2 linked regions of the Styela clava genome follow. The protein of the gene in region 1 binds, or shares a complex with, the protein of each later gene. Links are inferred from orthologs where the notes say so. Each region holds a gene or a part of one and is shown on either strand. Other genes may lie near its edges. The genes, in order: integrator complex subunit 4-like and integrator complex subunit 11-like.

Region 1 (7,169 bases):
AAATCATGATTTTGCATACTCAAAAATCATATTTATAGCTCACAAATTACATTTTTATAATGAATTATGTGGTATTCTGTCCCTACTCACCCCTTGAATATTAAATACAATTAGCATGCTGTAAATAGTAATTAGTCAAAGAATTCACCTTAGTAATTATTCGATGCTCCATTGCAGATATTTGTTTGATATCCTGTGGTTTTAACAGAACCATTTGAACAGTTGAATCTGGATATTTAATCTGTATTCTCACATCACGCAATGGGTTTGGGATATTTGTTGAAGTAGCATCCACATCTAGAGCAGTAGTTAATCCTGCTGAAAAGGATATACTGGAATCTGTCCGAGAAAGAGGAGTATGAACTACGACCTTTGACTCCCGAACTTTGTTGGAGAAAGTGACATTAGATACACTGTAATGTAATAACAATGGTTGAAGCAACTTGACAACTAATGAATATTTTTTCGTTGGATCCAACTTTAAGACTTCGTTGAAAAGTGTTTTTGAAAATGAATCAGGTATATGATTGTGCGTTTCCAAATACTGATGAACATCTTTTATAGTGTTAAAGAATTTCTGGCATCTCAGTGAAAGAGAAGACGTTGACACATCTTTTTGATTCATTAGGTTCTGCATATCCATTAGGAACTCCAATGATTGTGCTTTCAGGCACATCTGCCTGAGAAGAGCAATTTCGTCCGTACTCAGACCAAGAAACAAATGCTCTAGTTCTTGTGTTAGTCTCTCAATTTTTCTAGCAGCCGGTCTTGTGGATTCTAAATGTTGAGTGCAAGCCAATGCAGATCCAGACCACGCCCTGGTATCAACTATTTCTGACAGAAGTAGTTGTGCTTGCAAAAAATTTGCTGAGCTGGTAGCAGTCGATGAAAGCTTTGGCGCAATGTTAGAAATGTGTTTCAAATCATTGATGGTACAAGTGAGAAGGCTTTTTTGTGTCCTGCTGTCATGAAGTTGTAGATTTTTAACACGTTGTAGTGCTTTGTTTAAAAATTCTGCAGGATCTGATGCACCTTCAGACCGTCGAGGTGGGGAATTCATACACGATTCATCTCCATTTGCAAAAGTTGTTAGTTTAATTTCTTGCGGTACTAAATCAGGTATACTGTCACGAAGATACTGATAATGCCTTACAACATGCTCTGGGAATATTTGCGTCATTTTCGGACATAATTCCGCTGCATTAAAAACAAGAATAAGAACGCCAATATAACCTGGGTCGTCCATCTTTGGTTCAGGCATATCAAAGTAAGGATGGCATGATAGTAAATGCGGAACAAGCAAATACACCAATTGGCTATGATGCTTCCCTATGTGTTTATAAGCTTTCCAGATAGACATTCGGTCCTGTGGATATTTATTGAGATTTTTGAGCAACTTCATAATTGTATCATTAAGACAGAATTTTGATGTCAAGGTACAATTACTTAGCAGTAAATGTATTCCTTCTCTTATTTCAACACAGAAATCTTCCATTCCCGCTAATACGTTTTCCAATTGGTCTTCAAGAAGAGCAACATTCTGCATGATCTTATGTAAAGAATTGACTGCATTCAATCTTACGGCTTCAATTTCATCATTAAGACAATCAACAAGAAAATCCAAAGCTGCTTGAGGAAATTTTGAATTGATACGATGACATGCAAGCTCTGTAAGAGAATCAACAGCAGCAGTTCGTACTTCTAACATTTCGTCTTCGAGGCTGTGAACAAAGGCACCACAAGCTCCTCCAATTATAAGCTGGTTAGCTTCCGTATCTACTTCTTTGGGAGCATCATCCGCCCATTTAGCACCAGAAGAGAATTCACCCACATATGCCTCTTTTGCTTTTTCGTTTAGTGATTTTTTCTTTTTTAAATCCGACATCAATTTTTTGTCCAGAGTTTGAAAAAGAAATGAATTACTAACTAGGTGCATGGAACCTAGAAGTCCAGCAGCAGCCGCTCTGACTTTATATGAACTGTCATTCACCATGTCACACAGTTTTACAAAAGCATCATCTACAAGTCGTAGTTTTTCATCTGACATTGAAACAGATACCTCACTTTCTGGGTATATGTTGCTCATTATCCAGACAAGTTTTAAAGCAGCAACTCTCACAGCTTCATAGTCATCAGAAAGAGCTGAGCAAGCTTGATTATACACATGAAGTTCTAAGTTTTGTCTTCTTTGATGGAGCAATATCATTGCTTGTAATGCACTACATCGTACTCTTGGTTCTTGATCTCCAAAGAAATCTCCAAGAAGTGTTTGTATGTTCACTTTATTGCTTTTACTACTAGGCCTACATGGTTCAGTCGATTTCTCAATTTTTCCGAGGTTACCGATCAGTATAAGACACTCGCTTCGAACTTTATGGTTTTTGCTAAGCAATGTTTTGCAAGCAAGTTCAACAAGGGTTTCATGTAGTTCTCGTTCATTCGGGAGAATTTTAGCGCAATTAGTGAGAACAGACCAAAGTTGTGACAATACTTGGCTCGATTTTTCAGATTTAAGGAGTGAAATAATACTTTTCAGTGTGCTCAGAGCATTAAATCTTGCTGTTTGACACAAATTCCCTATCAACCAAGCAATCTTTGTTCGAACAGATGAATCTTTCTCATTTGCAAAAAGTTTTAGTAGCTCGAGAACATTCTGCCGTACCTGATTAGGAGGTATTGGAAGCTTTTTTGAGAACTGAATAAGGGATTGAAGTTTTTCTTTTGAGCTGTCAGAATCTTTGACTTTTACAATTGTCTGTTTTTCTGTTGAATCTAAAAACAAATGACGAAGTTAATGGTTAAGTTTGTTTTTCAATATGAACTGAAACAAACAGGTGATATATCAATATAGATATTCAATTAGCCAGCACTGGAATGAAGTACGGTATTAAATTTATTTTACCGTCATGTGTAAATTAATTTAAAACATATGAAAAATCCGAACAAAAAAATCCAATTTTATACGGGAATATTTTACATGTTTTCAGTGTTTTAACCTAACACTCACTTGAACTTTTTTTAATTAGACGTAGCCGTTTTGGTGTGCTAAGGTCGCTTTGGATAACATGGCTGAATTCTTCACAAGCCCTCTTTTTAAGATGAACCGCCATTTTCATGTGTACAAATCTCTCGATCCGTACTCAGAACGAACAAGATCGATTACCACAAATTTTCACCTCTGTGAAGCTAGCAGCAAAACACGAAATTGTGACTGACAGAATCGCAGAAAATACCCACGCGTGAAAATAAATGTTCCCAATGATTTTTAAAAGAAAGTGTATATTTTGATTAGTTTCACAATAGCAATTAAAGCAAAACAATCATTAATTACACTCCTCGTATTGTTAATATATAGTAAACAAGCTAAAGCGACTGTTACAGTGCACAAAATTTTTTTATAATTCTTTGAGAGATGTTTAAAAATGACTGAATTTTCGTCGTGTAACATGGTCGTTTCATGAAAACCTCCAATAAAGGCAGCATTGCAACACCATTGGTGAAAAGTAGAAACCCCAAAGATTCGATTTCAATATGTCAGAACAGTCTCAGCACGTTTTGACTTGACCATATATAATACTAAACATAGCGTATATTCTTCAATTTTTAAAACAATGTATATATAACAAATTTGAAACTGATTTTGTATTTCAACTAAATTTACTGGATAGTTCATCAAAGAAAATATTTTTCTCTTTGTCACACAACAATAATGCACTTCATTAAACTTAGAATAAGTTGAGGAAAGTCTGAAATACCGAAAAAAAATTACGCCCTCTTGTGGATTCTTTAATAAATTTCACAAAATTACCGTTTTTGAAAGGGCGATTTCTCAAAAACCGCCACTAAAGGCAGCACTACGACACATTCGAAGAAAAGCATATACCCTATAGATTCGATTTTAATATGTCAGAACAGTAGCAGCACGTTTTAACTTGGCAATACATGATACCAAACATAGCATATAATTTTCAATTTTATTAACTATGTAGATGTAACATATTTAAAAACGGTTTGGTATTTCAACTAAATTTACTGGATAATTCATCAAATACTTTTTTCTCTTGGCCATATATCACAACTGTACGTTCAATAAACTTGGAATAAGTGGCAAATCTAAAAATAACAAAAAATGATTTTACGCCCTCTTGTGGATTTTTTTCGGAATTTCAAAAAAATATCGTTTTTGAAAGGGCGATTTCTCAAAAACCGCCAATAAAGGCAGCACTACGACACATTCGGAGAAAAGCAGATATCTTATAGATTTGATTTCATTATGTCAGAACAGTAGCAGCATGTTTTGACTTTGCCATATATAATACCAAACATAGCGTGTATTCAAAAAGTTATAAACAATGCAGACGTAACATATTCAAAAAACGTTTGGTATTTCAACTAAATTTACTAGATAAATTATCAAACATCTTTTTTTCTTGGACATACATATATATTGTACGTTCATTAAACTTGGAATAAGTTGCGGAAAGTATAAAATACCAAAAAGCATTTTACGTCCTTTTGTGGATTATTTTCAAAATTTCAAAAAATTATTGTTATTGAAATAGCGATTTCTCGAAAACCGCCAATAGAGGCAGCATTACGACACATTTGGAGAAAAGCAGATACCTTATAGATTCGATTTTAATATGTCAGAACAGTAGCAGCACGTTTTGACTTGGCCATATATAATTCCAAACATAGCGTATACTTTCAATTTTATTAAATATTGTAGATGTGACATATTTAAAAACGGTTTGGTATTTCAACTAAATTTACTGGAAAATTCATCAAATACTTTCTTCTCTTGGGTATACAACAAAACTGTACGTTCATTAAACTTGGAATTAGTGTGCAAATCTTAAAATGCCAAAAAATGATTTGACGCCCTCTTGTGGATTCTTTTCGGAATTTCGAAAAATTATCGTTTTTGAAAAGGACGATTTCTCAAAAACCGCCAATAAAGGCAGCACTACGACACATTCGGAGCAAAGCAAATACCTTATAGATTTGATTTCATTATGTCAAAACAGTAGCAGCACGTTTTGACTTGGCCATATATAATACCAAACATAGCGTGTATTCAAACTTTTATAAACAATGCAGACTTAACATTATTCAAAAACGGTTTGGTATTTCAAATAAATTTTCTAGATAATTTATCAAACATCTTTTTCTCTTGGACATACATATATACCATACGTTCATTAAACTTGGAATAAGTTGCGGAAAGTATAAAATACCAAAAAGCATTTTACGTCCTTTTGTGGATTATTTTCAAAATTTCAAAGTCAGAACAGTAGCAGCACGTTTTGAGTTGGCCATAAATAATACCAAACATAGCGTATAATTTTTAATTTTATCAATCATGTAGATGTAACATATTCAAAAACGGTTAGGTATTTCAACTAGATTTACTGGTAATTCATCAAACACTTTTTTCTCTTGGTCATACATCAATACTGCACGTTAATTAAACTTGGAATAAGTTGTGAATTGTATAAAACCACATAAAATGTCTTACGCCCTATTATATATTTTTTTCAATTTCCTAAACATACCGTTTATGGAGTGACGAATTCTTGAAAACCGCCAATAAAGGCAGCATTACGACACATTCTGAGAAAAGCATATACCTTATAGATTTGATTCCATTATGTCAGAACTGTAGCAGCACGTTTTGACTTGGCCATATATAATACCAAACATAGCGTGTATTCAAACTTTTATAAACAATGCAGACGTAACATATTTGAAAACGGTTTGGTATTTCAACTAAATTTACTCGATAAATAATCGAATATATTTTTCTCCTGGTCCTAAATCAATACTGTACTTTAATTGAACTTGGAATAAGTTGCGGAAAGTATAAAACAACAAAAAATTATTTTACGCATCCTTGTGGATTCTTTTCATAATTTGAAAAAATATCGTTTTTAAAAGGGCGATTTCTCGAAAACCGCCAATAAAGGCAGCACTACGACACATTCGGAAAAAAACAAATACATTTTGAATTCCATTTCACTGTACTAGAACAGTAGCTGCACGATTGACTCTGCCATACGTAATACCAAACATATCGTAAATTTCCCTTCTTTTTTGCATTTATTTTTACATTCGCTGATACACCTTGTTCTCTTAGATAGACATTCAAGCATGGTTGTGAACATTGCCTTCTTTCGCAATTTCGCAAGTTATTTGTAAGTTTCTCGCCGTGTTTCAAAAAAATAGGTTTGGATGAAGTGTTTTAATCGTTATCGTGTCTTCCGATGAGCTTAAGTTTGATTGCAATGAAAAAGTGCGTTCTGGAATGACAGCGATTGACTAGGGACAGGCTAAAATGATCCATCATTACTTGTAACCGATTCGTGGTTTTATATTTTAATGAAAATATTGACTTAGAGCTCGTAAATTAGTTTATATTATTCCAACCTATTCCAAGTTTAATGAACGTTCATTATTGATGTACGTTCAAAAAAAAAAGATGTTTGATGAATTATCCAGTAAATTTAGTTAAAATACAAAATCTTTTTACAATATGTTACGTGTACATTGTTTATAAAATTGTGAATACACGTTATATTTGGTATTATATATGGCCAAGTAAAATCGTGCTGCTGTTGTTCTGACATAATGAAATGGAATCTATATGGTATTTTCTTTTCTCCGAATGTGTTGTAGTGCTGCCTTTATTGGCGGTTTTTGAGAAATCGCCCTTTTAAAAACGATATTTTTTCAAAACTTCAAAAAAAAAAACACAAGAGGGCGTCAAATCATTTTTTGTTATTTTAGGATTCGCCGTCTTATTCCAAGTTTAATGAACATACAGTTTTGATGTATGACCAAGAGAAAAAAGTGTTTGATGAATTATCCAGTAAATTAAGTTGAAATACCTAACCGTTTTCAAATATGTTACATCTACATAGTTGATAAAATTAAAAATTATACGCTATGTTTGGTATTATATATGGCCAAGTCAAAACGTGCTGCTACTGTTCTGACATATTAAAATCGAATCTATAAGGTATCTGCTTTTCTCGGAATGTGTCGTAGTGCTGCCTTTATTGGAGGTTTTTGAGAAATCGCCCTTTCAAAAACGATAATTTTTCGAAATTCCGAAAAGGATCCACTAGAGGGCGTCAAATCATTTTTTGGCATTTTAAGATTTGCACACT
Region 2 (7,690 bases), on another chromosome or scaffold:
ACACGTGAGAGGATTGGATCGAAGGAGTTTCATTGTTTCGGGAGGATATTTTGCTTTGTATATGAATGAACGTGAGAGGACTGGATCGGAGGAGTTTTAATGTTTCGGGAAAATATTTTGCCTCGTATATGAGTGAAACGTGAGAGGATTGGATAGAAAACTTTCATTGTTTCGAGACATTTTGCTTTGTATATAATAGGTACCGTATAAGTTTATTTCGACTGCGTAATCAGCATAACAGACGATAAAATAGTAGATAAAACAAATAAATAATGCGGGTATCGCTGCAAACATTTGACTTATTTAGTATTATCGCAATGCAATTGCGGACACATTATGATCATCTATTCTTAAGAGTGTTACTTGCGCGTAACAGAAGCTGATGAGCATGAAAATAGGCCAAAGGATTTATGCATCGAAAAAGGTCGAGAACCGCTGCCTATTTTATCTCGGAGATCAGTGATTCTTTGTTTAGCATAAAAAGATTTTCCAGTACTTGGACATTTTCGGCGCATGAGATAGAACCAAAATAAAGTGACATAAAACTTGGTACCGGTACTGATATTATTAAATCACAGGATATCCAATCAGTTCTTTAATATGCTCCCAACCAACTCCAAGCTTGCCCCAGAAAGTTTTAAAGGATGAACACTTGAAAGATTTGACAACCCATTATTGTGTTTATTATATTGATAAAAAAGAAAGTAACAAATGCACGGAATATGCACAAAGCAGTGTGTACACAAGATGTAGCAGGGTTAATAGAGTAAGCTTTCTAAACCTATAAAACAATTGTGCTCAACAGATTCTGCATTATGGCGCAACTGCCTCATTCAAGTTTAGCTTTGACTAGAGTACTAGCCAGATGTATGTGTAAACTGTAAATACTTCTTGAGATGCACAAAACTGGTGAAATAATGGACCTGATTTTAAGAAAAACTCGGATTATGCAAGTTCTCTAGTATTTGAAATTATATCAATATGGCCATATGATTTTGGTCTTGATTTAGTGAAAAGATTGAACAAGTACGTCAGTGAACAGGAAGTTTTGTCACTGATTTTGGCAAACCATTTTTCAAAACCTCCATTAAATAACTTCCCAAATCCTCATCTTGATATGGCCATGAAACCAATATTGATTTACTTGCTGGACTGTCATCTTCATGGGTATTAAAATCATCCGACACATCCATAGCTGTTTCTGAATCTTTTTGAACTTTAAGTAAAACTGATTCAATCAATATATGTCCATCTGATGTGGTATTAACAGAATGTGACCTCAACAACTGCTTTAAATGTTCATATAATCGAGTCATTGTTAGTTTTTCAGAACGGCAAGCATTTTGTAATTCCACTGTTGATGTGAATCGTAAATCATGTTTTGGCAGTCCAAGTTCTTGTAATGCTTCATCTTGTTCTAAAAGTCTTATTTTATTGTCTTTCATTAGCAACGCTCCATGTATAATTTTAGAACATTTTGGGTTCGGAGTTGCAGTATCAACAATTTCAGTTTTGTGTTTGAGGAGTTTTAAAGACATGTCAACTGGTACACATGGCTTTGATGAGATGACACAGGTCTCCCCATTTGCTGGATTAAAGCACTCCAATCCTAATTCATGATTTATTTTTGCTTTTAAAAATTCCATTTTCTTTGCTTCACCATGAACCAACAACACATGCTCTGGTTCACACATACGAGTTAGCTGCATTATCCCTTTAGCATCAGCGTGTGCACTAAACGACATATATTGTACCTGCATTTTGATTTCAACCACCTTACCAGGTTGCAACTCGATTTTCCTCATACCAGAAAGGATTTTGTGGCCTACAGTACCTGCAACACAATAACCAGGCATTATGATGGTATTTTTGTCACTAGTACACCATTTTTTAAAAATTTCAAGAGACAATCCACTATGGAGCATTCCCGGGGTTGCAAAAACAACCATGGGACCTGGATTTTCAATGAGTGTTCTGTTGAATGGCTTGATATGTTTGAAATCGAACAAGTTTCTATCCACAAAAGTACTTTTTATCTTTTGATTTGTCCAAGTTATGAAAAGCTTGTAATAATTTGTTGCTTTTTCAGTTAAACCTGTTGAAAAATATATTGGAACTCTCAAATTCATGCGATCCCAGTATGACTCTAGTAAAATACAAAGTTCTTGTGCTCTTCCAAGAGCAAAAACAGGGATCAATACTTTTCCACCCTTATCAATTGTTTCATGCACTTTCTTCAGAAAATCCCTTTCTCGACATCGTTTCGAATCTCGTATAGTTGTTGCATACGTTGATTCAGTAATAAGCAGGGTTGGCCGGCATTTATCTACCCATGCTGCTCCAAGATGCCTATCAGGGGTCATATTATAATCTCCTGTGTATAAAACAGATTCAGTTCCAGCACGAATGTAGAACATTCCTGCTCCTAATACATGCCCTGCATAATACGCCTTAATCTGGAGTTCTTCGTCAACATATATGGTTTGATGCAGATTTGCCGTAACTACCTTTTTCATACAATCTTTGATCATTTGTGAGGTGAAAAAATTAACTTCACCTTTTTTATCAACAGTTATTTTTCTGTAGTCTTCCAAAAGGATTGGAGCTATTGCTTTTGTAGGATGGGTCATGTAGATTGGTCCATCATAGCCAACCATTTCAGACATGTATGGTAATGCACCACAGTGGTCCAAATGAAAATGGCTTATAATAACGCAGTCAATATACTCGGTTAATCGTCCCTTTCCACCAGTGACATATGAAAAGTCAGGAAACCTTCGATCATCGTTAAATCCCATGTGCATTCCACAATCTAACATCACATTTTTTCCACCAAGGGATATCAATATGCAACTGCGGCCAACATCCTGGCCTGCACCAAGGGGTACAACTTTTATGTCAGGCATTACTGCGTTACCAATTCAGCAATTATCAAAAGGCATATCTAAATGTATTAAACCATAGGATAGCTGCCAAATTTAAAACGTTGATATGTTAGGTCTGTAGGTGCTATAACTAACTGTACAAGTCTGCAAGTGGACTTGATGGCTTCCTCCACCATCAAGGTTGTGGTTTGCCATATGATTGAGGCATATTATGGGCTCACAGAAATACAAACTTTTTTCAAGTTGTTAAATTAATAAGTTCAGAAGTTAGCACTTCCATACAACTAGACTACGAAATTAAAATACAAAAATGAAAAAAACTATTGAAGTGATAAGTATAAGTATGGGTTTATTTCGACTCCATAATCAGCAAAACAATAAAATGAGTGCTAAAAATAAATAAATAAAAACTGATTATGAAATCAGGAGAGCGAACAACACCTTAGATAAGGTTTAAAACGTACAGAATGTATATAAGATGGAAGGTTTTGCCAAGAAGATGTGGTACGTGTTCACTCACCTAAAATAATTGAAATATTTCACACACGCTTACACGCAACCATATAGAAGTTATTAAGTAAAGGGAACATGAAAAATTACATACTGGTAGTTAATAAAAAATAAATAAATAAAAATTACTTGCCACACCATATTAATAAATTTATCATGATTGCCACTGCCAAATTGATCAATTTTATAAATGGGAGTGAACAGTAAAGATAAACTTTTATAAAAAAATATATTGTCAAGCTGATTATAGATGGAGTCAAATGCCAAAATGCCCAACCAAAGTTGCCAGAATTGGGTGCATGAAGAGGTGGGCTAGACCACTTCATTGCCCAAACTAGAGCCTATTATTGCCAAAAATAATTTTGAAAATGAAATTTTTTTAACTGAATGGGTTGGGGAACTGGGACTAATTTTTGGATGGCGTATTCAGGTGGGGGTTAGGATTGATACGAAAAAAAAAATTCGTATGCTACGCCCTCTAGAAGTACGTTAGGCACGAAACTACATTAGACTCCGACCGAACTTGGCCTACCAATATGATGTGAATTGGATTCACCCGTTCCTTCAATGGATGTCTGTTCGACCTTTGACACCCAAATTTTAGTAGATTTTGGCAAATTTTTGGTATACCTTTTCTCGAGATGGCGCTTGCAAACTTAGAATACTATTCACATATTTATCCTGCGGGAGAGAAAAACCGATTAAACGGCCTAATCATATGATCCTCGACGGCCTCCACGGGTACTAGTCCAGGGTATGAAATTAGTTAGTTTAGCGGTTCCCAACATTTTGTTCATGCAACGCCAAATTATCAGGGAAAACCTGAGAAAAAAATTGCTACTTTCAAATAAAATTCAATTTTGTGATCATCGTTGTGTATTTTATGTCTTTTAAAGTTTGTAAACATGTAGTCCATGTATGACTTCAGCAGCATTCAAAATCCCAATATATGCTTTGGAAAAAATCTTCGATAAGTTCTTTACACTTCACTCTTAGTCTTTTTCTTACAAAGAGAGAGAGATTTATTGTTTCGTCAACCAGAAAACAAGCATTGGTACAACAAAATATGCAAGTTAATTCGGTATGGACTGGTGGAAGCGATGCGCACTTAGGGTCATCAGAGTCAGCTCCCCCAAAATTCACCATTAAGATTCACAGTTAAAAGCGGTTAAAGCGTAGTAGTATATATTCACGGTTAAATCAAACGCTAGTATACCCTAGCCCAGCGTTTCCCAAACTGTGTTCCGCGGAACACTAGTGTTCCGCGACGCGAGGGTCTTCCGAGTGTTCCGCGACGCGAGGGTCTTCCGAGTGTTCCGCGGAAAAGCGATACAAATTACGACTAAATTGGTCGCCATAGCGATCACAGGATCCTGAAGAAGCCGTTCAATATCGCGTCACCGCCGGCCTGAAGCGGACTAACGTTTTAAGGGGAGAGCCATTTTCGTGAACCGTCGGCCTAGCTTTTTGATTGTCAAGTTCATTATCAAATTTACAGCAATCTTTTTGGTTTTGCTATAGGTAAACATGTAAGCTTAAAGAATAAAGGCAAAAGGGTCAAATGTTCCTTCTCCCTCTCTGCCTGGTTTTACTTTGAAATGCTCATATTAAACAAGATAGCTATGCTCAAATATATGGACACGTAGCGCCACCCAATGGCAATAACTTTGATGACGTCATAGCAAAAAAAAAAGTAATAGCCTTCTGGAGAAAAATTTTATCTTCAACCACTGAAAATTTCAAAGCAATTGGTCCAGTATTCGAAGAGAAAAGCGACTTTTTAAAAACGTGTCAAAGAACAACATCAACATAATATTGAAACGATCGTTATGTCCACTACGTGTCCAATAACTGATTTATTGATTAATATATTTTTAAAATAGGAAAAAATAAACATTTATGGTAAATGCTATGTTAAATATTCAATCATACTGTATTAATGTTTAATACAATTCTGTTAGTTTTCGCGGCGCATTTAGCAACACTAGTTCTCCTGGCGCAACCTTTGGGAACCGCTGCCTTACACCATTTTTCTTTATCAATTTTACACTTTCATTTTTCGGTGTTCCGCGAGACGAGATGAAAAGTGTGAGTGTTCCGTGGCCGAAAAAGTTTGGGAAACGCTGCCCTAGCCTACCATACGGTGCTAATTTTGGAAGTTTTATAAATTTGCGAAAGTAGTGGGTTAATAATATGGTCAACGTATCAGTCAAAAGCGAACAAAAACGACCACAAAACATTAGCCAAGATGTCTTATCGGAATCGCTCCCCCATTTACCTGTATTTGGCCTTATTTTATTGCCTTAAGTATTTTGCGTAGCGATCTCAATATCATTGCATGGCCTGGTTCCGTAGTTCCAGAGCCGTGCATATAAATATAACTAAAGAGCGCTCCATAAGTGCGTGTACCAATATGGAGGTAACTAATATTGTTCGCCTACTCTATAGACTTTATAGACTATAGGTTATTGCATTTTTATTATATAAGGCAAAAACAATTGTTTCCACTTATATCTATTGTATAATCGCCTAAACCAGGGGTTCTCAAACTTTTGGTGTTGCGGAGCCCCTGAAAAGGTTGACTATTATTCGCGGAGCCCCAAAAGAAATGTTAAAATTGTAGCTTTCCGATAAATATTCCTGAGTAAGTTAAAAGTACTTAACTTAAATTAAATGCTAAACCTTTTTAATGGGGTTAATGCAAGTCATAAATAAATCGAAATTTCAAAGATAAATTATATATACTCTTACTAAAGCTGTAAATTTGACACTTGACAAACATATTAATAAACTAGGGGTCGAATCTTTTCCCTTTTGACATTTTCGGAAGACTTAAAAAGGCCCGTAATAACGTGCGCGATTGCATTTTGTTACAATCACCGATAGTTTTTGTCAGCATGGCATGTTTTTAAACATCTTTACGCCGGTGTTTATTCTCCCTAAATCAAAAATTTTCTTCGCCATATACATGTATTTTTCCACAATGACGACGATAATTGCTTTTTTGTTCTCGTGGGGAATTATGAGTTCAATGTGAAAAACGCTTTTATAGGCATTGTAAATCACAAAATTTGGTGTAATGTTAGGTTTTCTTTTGGGTATTCATCGTATAGTAACTGCGAAATCGAAACACAGTCAATTGTGTGCGCGATTTACCTTTTTTTATTCTGAAACTACCGACGGAGCCGCATGCATTTGAAATAAATTTCAATCGTATTTTGCCCAGATCTTGTGATTTTTTAAACGGCGATATCTTGCTTAATAATAATCTCGAGTGCAAAAGAACAAATCAAGTTTGACAAATTCCAAGATCGCAAAAATACGACTCCAATTTATTTATAGTTGGCAGTTTATCACGTCTTTTATGTTATTTTAGAATAGTATTCTTTCATTTTAGTAATCCTAATAGTAATCTCGAATGAAACTTGAGTAACTATGAGTACAATTGAATTATTACGACAAGACACTTTAAATGCTCGCATCGGCCATGCATTGAATATTTTACGCAACAGAAATCTCGTTATCCGTTTTTTATAATCGCAAAGAATGTTGCGCGCAAATCCCCACCTCTTGAGAATCCTGGCTGCGCTCCAGCTTATAAATAATGTCATTTTTTAATTCCGCCTCTTTGCCATATTTCGAGGCTATATTGTTGTCAAATTTTATCAAAGCTGTTATTGCTTCTTTGAACAGCTACAAAACTAGTCATTATTTTGAAAAGTAATCGAATAGCTCGCGGAGCCCCTGGGTTTCTCTCGCGGAGCCCTGGGGCTCCGTACGGAGCACTTTGAGAACCTATGGCCTAAACAACCAAACTTTTTCAAAAACGAGATCCACATCAGACTATAAATTTCCAACGTGAGTATAATCGTGTTTCAATACCCACAAAAGGTCGCATATAGATCCATATGTAGCGCACTGGGTAGTAAAATAGACGAAAAGCTGGCCAAAACCTGAAACTTTGGAAGCATAAACGCAAAGATGGCGACGATCAAATTGCCCCGCGCTGCGACATCGCAACACCAGAGAGAAGATCGTTCCATGTATTTCCAATTCAGTGGCTCAAGCGCGTATCTTCTGATCCGTTTGACCATATATACGGTTTGACACACGAAAAAATTATTTTTAATACCGTATGTATATAAGTTGATAATACGATACAAATTCAAAGAATTCGGGCGTTGATTCGTGAGAAAGAAAAGTATATATACGCGAATTGTTGAATTCGGGCGGTGAAGCTTGAAAAATAAAAATACACGAGCGTGAACTCGGGCGTTAAACTTGGACGAGTTGAA

Evidence for each region.
Region 2: the proteins of integrator complex subunit 4-like (region 1) and integrator complex subunit 11-like are in contact, whole or in part, in a cryo-EM structure (PDB 7SN8), measured with the Drosophila melanogaster proteins. The link is inferred for Styela clava from reciprocal best matches to the Drosophila melanogaster genes IntS4 and IntS11. Residues at the interface, in NP_572488.1 of Drosophila melanogaster: Arg226, Ser227, Gly228, Gln233, Lys256, Phe259, Tyr260, Asp262, Ser263, Gln264, Lys299, Asp300, Asp301, Cys349, Leu351, Lys380, Lys381, Ile437, Glu441, Glu443, Phe444, Leu445, Glu446, Arg448, Asp471, Phe472, Asp475, Asn478, Glu480, Ile481; in NP_651721.1 of Drosophila melanogaster: Thr182, Pro183, Arg185, Gly188, Ala189, Trp191, Ile192, Asp193, Lys194, Arg196, Ile210, Arg211, Asp212, Ser213, Lys214, Arg215, Arg258, Asn287, Gln288, Lys289, Lys292, Thr293, Met299, Gln400, Asn404, Asn469, Ala470, Pro472, Pro473, Pro475.

Annotation. Positions count from the first base shown.
Region 1 is NC_135259.1:15,385,464-15,392,632, reverse strand, and holds the start of integrator complex subunit 4-like, read right to left. Parts: upstream 3,196-7,169; 5' UTR 3,117-3,195; coding exon 3,008-3,116; intron 2,773-3,007; coding exon 149-2,772; intron 1-148. UniProt on the Drosophila melanogaster protein: Component of the integrator complex, a multiprotein complex that terminates RNA polymerase II (Pol II) transcription in the promoter-proximal region of genes.
Region 2 is NC_135252.1:16,275,115-16,282,804, forward strand, and holds integrator complex subunit 11-like, read right to left. Parts: upstream 2,989-7,690; 5' UTR 2,907-2,988; coding exon 1,032-2,906; 3' UTR 677-1,031; downstream 1-676. UniProt on the Drosophila melanogaster protein: RNA endonuclease component of the integrator complex, a multiprotein complex that terminates RNA polymerase II (Pol II) transcription in the promoter-proximal region of genes.